Ovis aries: one gene and its partner. The protein of the gene in region 1 purifies or fractionates together with the protein of each later gene. This does not show direct contact. Links are inferred from orthologs where the notes say so. Each region holds a gene or a part of one and is shown in the gene's direction. Other genes may lie near its edges.

What was found. Proteins that work in one complex are often made in the same cells at the same time.
Region 2: the proteins of TUBG1 (region 1) and NEDD1 purify together in Homo sapiens (affinity purification with mass spectrometry; 5 studies listed by BioGRID and IntAct, with this or other methods). This does not show direct contact. The link is inferred for Ovis aries from reciprocal best matches to the Homo sapiens genes TUBG1 and NEDD1.

What each region holds. Positions count from the first base shown.
Region 1 is NC_056064.1:42,410,141-42,414,563, forward strand, and holds the start of TUBG1 (tubulin gamma-1 chain), read left to right. Parts: upstream 1-1,495; 5' UTR 1,496-1,594; coding exon 1,595-1,643; intron 1,644-1,965; coding exon 1,966-2,078; intron 2,079-2,280; coding exon 2,281-2,448; intron 2,449-3,313; coding exon 3,314-3,382; intron 3,383-3,678; coding exon 3,679-3,758; intron 3,759-4,181; coding exon 4,182-4,308; intron 4,309-4,423. Other genes in the region: RETREG3 (reticulophagy regulator 3), read right to left, coding at 937-1,175. UniProt on the Homo sapiens protein: Tubulin is the major constituent of microtubules, protein filaments consisting of alpha- and beta-tubulin heterodimers. Gamma-tubulin is a key component of the gamma-tubulin ring complex (gTuRC) which mediates microtubule nucleation.
Region 2 is NC_056056.1:166,687,628-166,691,272, forward strand, and holds part of NEDD1 (protein NEDD1), read left to right. Parts: intron 1-627; coding exon 628-756; intron 757-3,645. UniProt on the Homo sapiens protein: Required for mitosis progression. Promotes the nucleation of microtubules from the spindle.

The sequences.
Region 1 (4,423 bases):
GCTTTATTTTTCATTCAGCTGTAGAAGCCCCCCCTACACTTGAGTTCCCTTGGAATCTGATCAGTAATACTTCCCTAGTTATGAATAAATCCAAACTCTGCTTGGCAGATTCTATGAAGACCTAAGTTCACTTCAGGAGATGACAACTCAGGGAAGCAGCAGTTCCATTTTCACACAGGATGACACAGACAGATTCTTTAAGCATATTTTTAGCCCTACTATCCCAGCTCAGAAAAACAAAACACTATTAGACACCCTCAATTTCCTTGCATATAAACCGTGGTGAAGGATGCTTCTCTAATTCCTTGGAACACGGAGAAGTCGTCTTAAGTGGCTTTGAAATGGGTGAAATCCCACAATTACTATTTCATAACTGTCTTCAAAAGCTTGTAATTTTCTTTCAAGTTGCAGTTATGGAGGCTCTCAAGGACTCCCAGACTTCGCAAACTTCCTGAGTGGGCAAAAAGATGTCTATCTAACATGCTAATTCAGGTCGTTTAAGCATGTTTCCTTGTTACACCTATGGATCCCTTTTCAAGATCTCACGCCTTACTCATCTACTCCAACAATAAGTACTAAGATCTCGAGGCTGTTGAGCAGACAAGAGAAGGGAGGTGATGGCCTTAACGGAACACAGCTTCTCTTGGCTAAAATGAGGCGCCTTCGCTCACTGCGAGCGGCGCAAGATGTTACTAGAAGCTCCTGCCAGATGTGCGGGGCGAGGGTGCACGTAAAGCAGGGGGAACAACTGGAAGGCCCTAAGAACTGCGGTGCCAAAGCCTCAGGCGGGATAGAGTGGAAGGAGGTGAGACAAAATTAGGCAGGTACAGGTAGGAGCCAGTGCAGCGAAGAAAACAAAGGAGGCGAGAGATAGAGCCTTAGAGAAACCTGACGAATTCGCGCCTCGGAGGGTTTCCGAGGATCCAGTTCTCTCACCAGAAAGCCGCGTTCAGCCCCAGGCACCACAGGGCGCTCCTGGCTGGCCGCTCCCACACCAGGGCTGCCTGCACTCGGCTCAGCAGAGGCTCGTAAGGCCCCAGCACCTCCACCAGGGCCCGCTGCGCCGCCTCAACCTGCTGGTCTCGCTCCCAGGAGCCTGACATAGGGCGGCGACCCTTGAAAGTCTGACCGGAGGCTGGGCCTGGGGCCACGGCCACCCCCTCTGCCTCCGCCATCTCCCCCCGGCAGCCACAACATCCGGGGCCACGGCCCGACAATCACAATAATCTCAACTGCGCAGATGCGCGAAACGGCGAGGGAGGCTGCATCCCTGCACACGCGCCTGCGCGAAGGCCCTTGGTCGCGTACATCCCAGAAAGAAGAACACTGCGTCAAAATTACGTCCCCGGCGCCCCAATCAGGAGCTGCGCACGCGCAGTCTGCAGGGCTGAAGCCGAACGAGTAAGGAAGTGCCCTCGCCAGAACTCAGTTTTCATTGGAACAGAGGAAGTTTGGGGGCGGGGCAAGTTTTGGCGTATGCGCAGTGTAACGGGCTAGCGAGCGGCGGCTTTGCTGGCGGGAGAGGCAGCTTTTCTGTGGCGAGAGCGGTAGCTTTGCTGTACAGAGCGGCTGCAACGCAGCTGCCAGAGGAGAGATGCCGAGGGAGATCATCACCCTACAGTTGGGCCAGTGCGGCAATCAGAGTGAGCGAACTTCCGGCCCCTCCACTAGCCAGGGTTTCTTAGGTTCTACGGGATCTCGCTGTGGGATCCTGAACTCCATCTGCCCTTCCCAGAATCGTAGTTCTCCGAAAGGTGGGACATGCCTGACCCAGTATCCAGCTGCTCAACCCCAAGGGGCCCTCCTCTGCCCAGTCGCTGATATACTGCCCTTTCCTCTGACACGAGAGACTCCCGAAGCTTGACTTCCTATCGCTGGACCCAGGCATTGAGTCCCCCAGCTCCTAGTTGGAACCTGCCCAGACCCAGATATCCTCTTTCTTCCCGCCCTCGTTCCTCCCGTCAGTTGGGTTCGAGTTCTGGAAACAGCTGTGCGCCGAGCATGGTATCAGCCCCGAGGGCATCGTGGAGGAGTTCGCCACCGAGGGCACTGATCGCAAGGACGTCTTTTTCTACCAGGTGCCCCCAGGGACTTAGCCAGGGCCGGTAGTGGCCCAGGGGTTCTGAAGGGAAGGGTAGTGGCTTGGTACTGGGAAGCCCACTAGGCAGAGGAGCCAGGGAGGCTGGCTTGAAGAGGGAGGGAGGCAGGATCAGGGTTGGGAGGACTGGAGGACTGGGCAGGCCCGAGCTGATTGGGCCCATCCTAAACTCCCCTTTACAGGCAGACGATGAGCACTACATCCCGAGGGCAGTGCTGCTGGACCTGGAGCCTAGGGTGATCCACTCCATTCTCAACTCCCCTTATGCCAAGCTCTACAACCCAGAGAACATCTACCTGTCGGAGCACGGAGGAGGAGCTGGCAACAACTGGGCCAGTGGATTCTCCCAGGTCATTTGCTGTTCCCTGGCAGAAGAACTCCACTCCTGCATGGGGACTGGCCCTATGACTTCCTAAAGAGAAGATAAACCAGATGGAGAATATATGAGTGGAGAGAGAGATGTGACTGAGGGGGTTCTGAGCGAACTATGTAATGGTCATAAGAGACTGCACTTGGCTCATGCCGGATGCCAGGCCATTGTTAGTGTTTTACATAAATTAACTTACCCAGACCTTCCAACAATCCTAGAGGTAGGTACTACAGGTCCACAGTCTCTGTAGGTTTCCAGAATCCAGAAAACTCTGAAACCAAAAGAGGATTTATAACTACTCATTTAGCAGCAAAACTGAATCTCAATAGAGATAAGCTAGTTTATAGTTTCTGTTCAACTTGCTGCCACTTCTCATTCCTTTCACTAAAGAAATATTAATGTATTTGGTTAGCACTGCTCAGACCCCTGCCCCACTGATGTTCTACTTAGCTTGTGTTATACACACCATATAGCCCTCCTAGAATCTGAAATATTTGAACTCTGAAACATAATGCCCCAAGAATTTTAGATAAGGCACTGTGGACCTGTATTAGTGCCTTCATTGTACAGATGAGGAAACTGAGGTATAGAGAGATGAAGTAGCACCCGACTAACTAGACCTAGAGCTAATATAGGCATTCAGGCAGTCTGGATGTAGAGACTCTGCTCGTAACCACCAGGCTGTACTACCTTTTAGTGCAAACAAAAAGCAGGACCACTGTGTTCCAAAAAGGACTTTTAGGTACTATAAGGAGAATGGAGGGTGGCTATTCCGAGGCCAAAGTCCTGCCCTTAGTCTTGTTGCTTAGTCCTGCCCCACTCTGATGCCCTCCATGTCTGTGCAGGGAGAGAAGATCCACGAGGACATTTTCGACATCATAGACCGGGAGGCAGATGGCAGCGACAGCCTAGAGGTGAGCATCTTAGGAATGCCGGTGACGGCCAGCAGGGGACCGCTAGGCAGCACCCTTTAGAAGCCATCTGTTAGGTGTGGGACCCTCCCCGTGCAGCCTTTGCACTGGACAGAAGCCACAGGGCCTTGTTGGAAATAACGAACAGTCTGCTAATCTGTGGGGGGGGGGGGGGGCGGTGGGGGAGGGAAGTGGAGGAGAGGTCTTGGGAAGATAGGAGTCCAAGAAGTTATGAGATGGGTAAAATTGGAAATCCTGCCACTTGAAACCTAGATACTGACCGCCCCTTCCCCATGCAGGGCTTCGTGCTGTGTCACTCCATCGCTGGGGGAACAGGCTCTGGCCTGGGCTCCTACCTCTTAGAACGGCTCAATGACAGGTAAGTCTGTTTTGAAGGGCAGAGAGGATTTGGTTTCCCAGGTGACTGGGAGGCCCTCCAGATAAAACCTTCCCATTCACTGGAGCAGGAAAGGGCCCTTCCGTTCCCTGCTGTATTGAGGAAGGAAAGGTACAATGACCAGGAACCCAATCACACTCCTAGTGGTTGGAACCAGAGTCTAGAATCCTGATCTTTGATGAAGATTCAGGGAGTAAGCCTGATTTGGAATTAAAACTCTAGGTCCTAAGATGTCTCTCTGCCCTTCCCCCCTTTTGGGTTACAGACTGCCAAAAGTCAGGTCTCCCTTCTCTGCTGTCCTATGACCCGAACCGCAATTTCCCCATCCTGACCGTCACTAGAAGCCCCAAGTTTACCAAGCCTCTAGTCTGTTGCCCTTGACCATCCTTTCGCAAACACCACTAGGTACCCCAAGAAGCTGGTGCAGACATACTCAGTGTTTCCCAACCAGGACGAGATGAGCGATGTGGTGGTCCAGCCCTACAACTCACTGCTCACGCTCAAGAGGCTGACCCAGAACGCTGACTGTGTGGTAAGTCCTGGAGTCTCCCTTACTCCAGTCCCAGCCCCCCTGTCTATTTCATCCTTTTCATGCATTTTTAAAAGTCCCATTTTGAACCTTCCTGTGCCCCAGTCTTGTTCAAGTC
Region 2 (3,645 bases), on another chromosome or scaffold:
TAAAACGTCCCTGCCCTAAAGTCATATTGAGAGAGAAAGCAAAATTTCCGCATAGCTGCGTGTCTCTGTTATTAGTCTACTGTACTGTTCTTTATGAGTTTGGTGTTCTGGTTTCCTTCCTGTCTGGAAGCTGTCCTAAGGTTAGTGAAGGCCTTTAAGGTCAGTAATGCTAAGAGCAATGTTAGGTTCCCACTGTTAGTGAAGAAAAAGATAAAGAAGGGAAAAGAAGAGATCCATCACTGCAAGTTGGGAAAGGGAACTAACATCATTTGAATACTGCTGTGTGTTTGGTGTTGTACTTGATGGCTTAGAGACATTTTTTAATCACTGTAGGTGATCCTGAGTCAGTCACTAACAAAAATAAGCTGTGCTCAGTATACTTTGTGTAAGAAAAATACATAAAATATTTAGAAAAGTTCTATCAAAATAGATTTAAAAAGTGGTGATATATAAATAAGTTAGTTGCTTTTAAGAGCCCTTCATTCCATGAAAATGATGGTTAACTGACCTGTTGTTTGGTTGTAGTGTTTCCAATGATATAGGTAAGACATTAGTTTTTAGTTCCTAGCTTCTCATGATAAACTTATTTCAATATAATAACTTATTTTTATGTCCAATTTCTATAAGGTCTGCCTCGAAGCATAATCACCGATACTTTATCAAAGGAAACGGAGAGTGGGAAAAATCAGGATTTCTCTGGCTTTGATGATTCTGGAAAAAGTAGTTTAGGTGATATGTTCTCACCTGTCAGAGATGGTAAGTCTGTTCACATCAGAGGATCATGTTCTCTTGCTCTGGTGCCCATAATGTTTTTATTCTGGCTAAAAGACATGGATAATAGCTTCAGTCTCATGCTATTCATGACAGTTGCTGATTTTCTCAGTCCCTGAGGTGTTATCTTTCCCTTTGCCCTGAGATTTCAAATGTTATCTTTTTAAAATATATGCTAATAGTTTTCACATGGAAACCAAACAAATAGCTCTCAAGTTAGCATTTTTAATTTCCACTGAAGTTTCCTGCAGGAAATTTTGCCTCCATAGTCTTTTACTTGTATTTATTTCTAAGAAAGTCTGCCCCAAATCTTGGGTATTTTGATAGGCAGAAAATATCTTCCTAACAAAAAAAAAAAAAAAAAAAGTTTCTTTGATTATTAGGAACTGGTATTAAGGGTTTTCATGGAGGAATATGGCTGGGGGTTGGTTAGATTGCCTCATCTTTTATACTAACTGTATGAAAGTACCCCCAACATACACACACACACATACATACACACTTACTCACTCTCCATAGCTAGTAGGTGTTCACACACACACTCACCCACTCACTCCCTCTCTCCTTCTTGCCCCATGTCACTAGTAGGCATTGCCATTAAAAGAAATAAGCCTTAAAAATGAAACAAAAAGACCTTTGACAGTTTTTAAACAGAAACATTATGTATCATTGTTGTTTATTTTCTATGAACTAGGCACATGGTTTGGCTGTACTTTTTTTGGTGCTAATATTCATACTGTTTTCTTTAATGGGATAGTCTTACTACTAACAGCAGTTTTATCAACAGTACGGGGTAAATTTCTAGAGGATAATTTGGCAGATGTAAATATTCATACTTTTTGTCCTGTTAATTCCATTTCTATAAATTTATCTTAGAAGATGTTCAGAGAAACCCTCAGAGATTTGTGTTTACTGTTTATTTATAATAATGAAAAACAGGAGTGAATCTAAATGTCAGCAGTATCAGGGTGTGTAATTTATTATGTCTACTCATGATCTTGAAGAAGAACTGAAAAGCCTCTTGATGAAAGTGAAAGAGGAGAGTGAAAAAGTTGGCTTAAAGCTCAACATTCAGAAAACGAAGATCATGGCATCTGGTCCCATCACTTCATGGGAGATAGATGGGGAAACAGTGGAAACAGTGTCAGACTTTATTTTGGGGGGTTCCAAAATCACTGAAGATGGTGATTGCAGCCATGAAATTAAAAGACGCTTACTCCTTGGAAGGAAGGTTATGACCAACCTAGATAGCATATTGAAAAGCAGAGACATTACTTTGCCAACAAAGGTCCATCTAGTGCAAGGCTATGGTTTTTCCAGTGGTCATGTATGGATGTGAGTTGGACTGTGAAGAAAGCTGAGCACTGAAGAATTGATGCTTTTGAACTGTGGTTTTGGAGAAGACTCTTGAGAGTCCCTTGGACTGCGAGGAGAGCTAAGCAGTCCATCCTAAAAGAGATCAGTCCTCAGTGTTCATTGGAAGGAATGATGCTGAAGCTGAAATTCCAGTACTTTGGCCACTTCATGCGAAGAATTGACTCATTGGAAAAGACTTTGATGCTGGGAGGGATTGGGGGCAGGAGGAAAAGGGGACGACAGAAGATGAGATGGTTGGATGGCATCACCGACTCTATGGACATGAGTTTGAGTGAACTCCGGGAGTTGGTGATGGACAGGGAGGCCTGGCGTGCTGCAGTTCATGGGGTTGCACAGAGTTGGACACGACTGAGCGACTAAACTGAACTGAACTCATGATCTTATAAAATTTAACTTTTTACTTTAAAATTATTTTTCAGTGTTTTCTTCAACTAATTTCATAAGTGGAAAGGATAAATATATATGTAGTGGTACAGGATTATTGAGTGTCTTCTACCTTACCCTGGCTTGAAAATAAATCCTTAAATTTCCCAAATTCCTACTTCTATCTAATAAAAGAGGAACAATTCCTTTCTTTCAGAATGAAGAGAGGTCATACTACATAGTTGAGGGGTAAGGAGAGAAAAGATATGGGCAAAGCAGGTAGAAGTGGCTTGGGCTGGAGATCAGAAAGGTTTTGGAGTTTAGTACCCAACTGGGGAGCTTTGTTTATGAGAGTCACTCGAGTAGTTTTTAATTTAAATTTAATATTTTAATTGAAAGGGCTTTTTGGAAGTGTTTGAGTTATAAATAAAATCTCCTTTAATGGTGTTTGATGGTAAAGTAAAGGATATAAACTCCCTTTTAATTGCTTTTGCTGTTTAAAGAAGATATGATTAAAATTTGAGCCATACGCCCTTCCATTTATTAGAGTTTGATATTAATAAGAAAAAATGTGGATACTAAAAATAGTACTGGTTTTCACTGTCAAGAGGTTTGAATATTAATCTCTTAGAGTCAATACTACTTAGGTAAAAGGCTTAATCTTTTTTCCTCAATTTCTTCATCTTTTAAATAATACTTTTGCTTTTGTTAGGAAAAAATGAGTAACTTCTAAAAATGTGTGTTGTATGATTACTAGATGTAATATACACATGCAGACAGAGATATGAATGAATGGAGATATGGATGCAAGTCCTACTTGTAATCATGTGTGACAATTCATTGGCCATTTGAATTTCTGGGGAATTTTTAAATGACCTTTTCCCATTTTTATGTTAATCTATTAAAATTGAGATAAGCAGTTTTTGGTTGTTATTTGATAAATGAATAATATTACAGTATTGAAATATTCTTAAACATATTCTGTCATTGAAAAGATACTGATAAAACCTTATATTTTTAATTAACATTGTATTTTTTGCAAAATATTTTTACATTATTTCAGTTGATCCTTAAAACAATTTCTGAGGTGGTTGGGGCATTGTCCCCATTATATAGGTGTAGAAACTGAAGCAT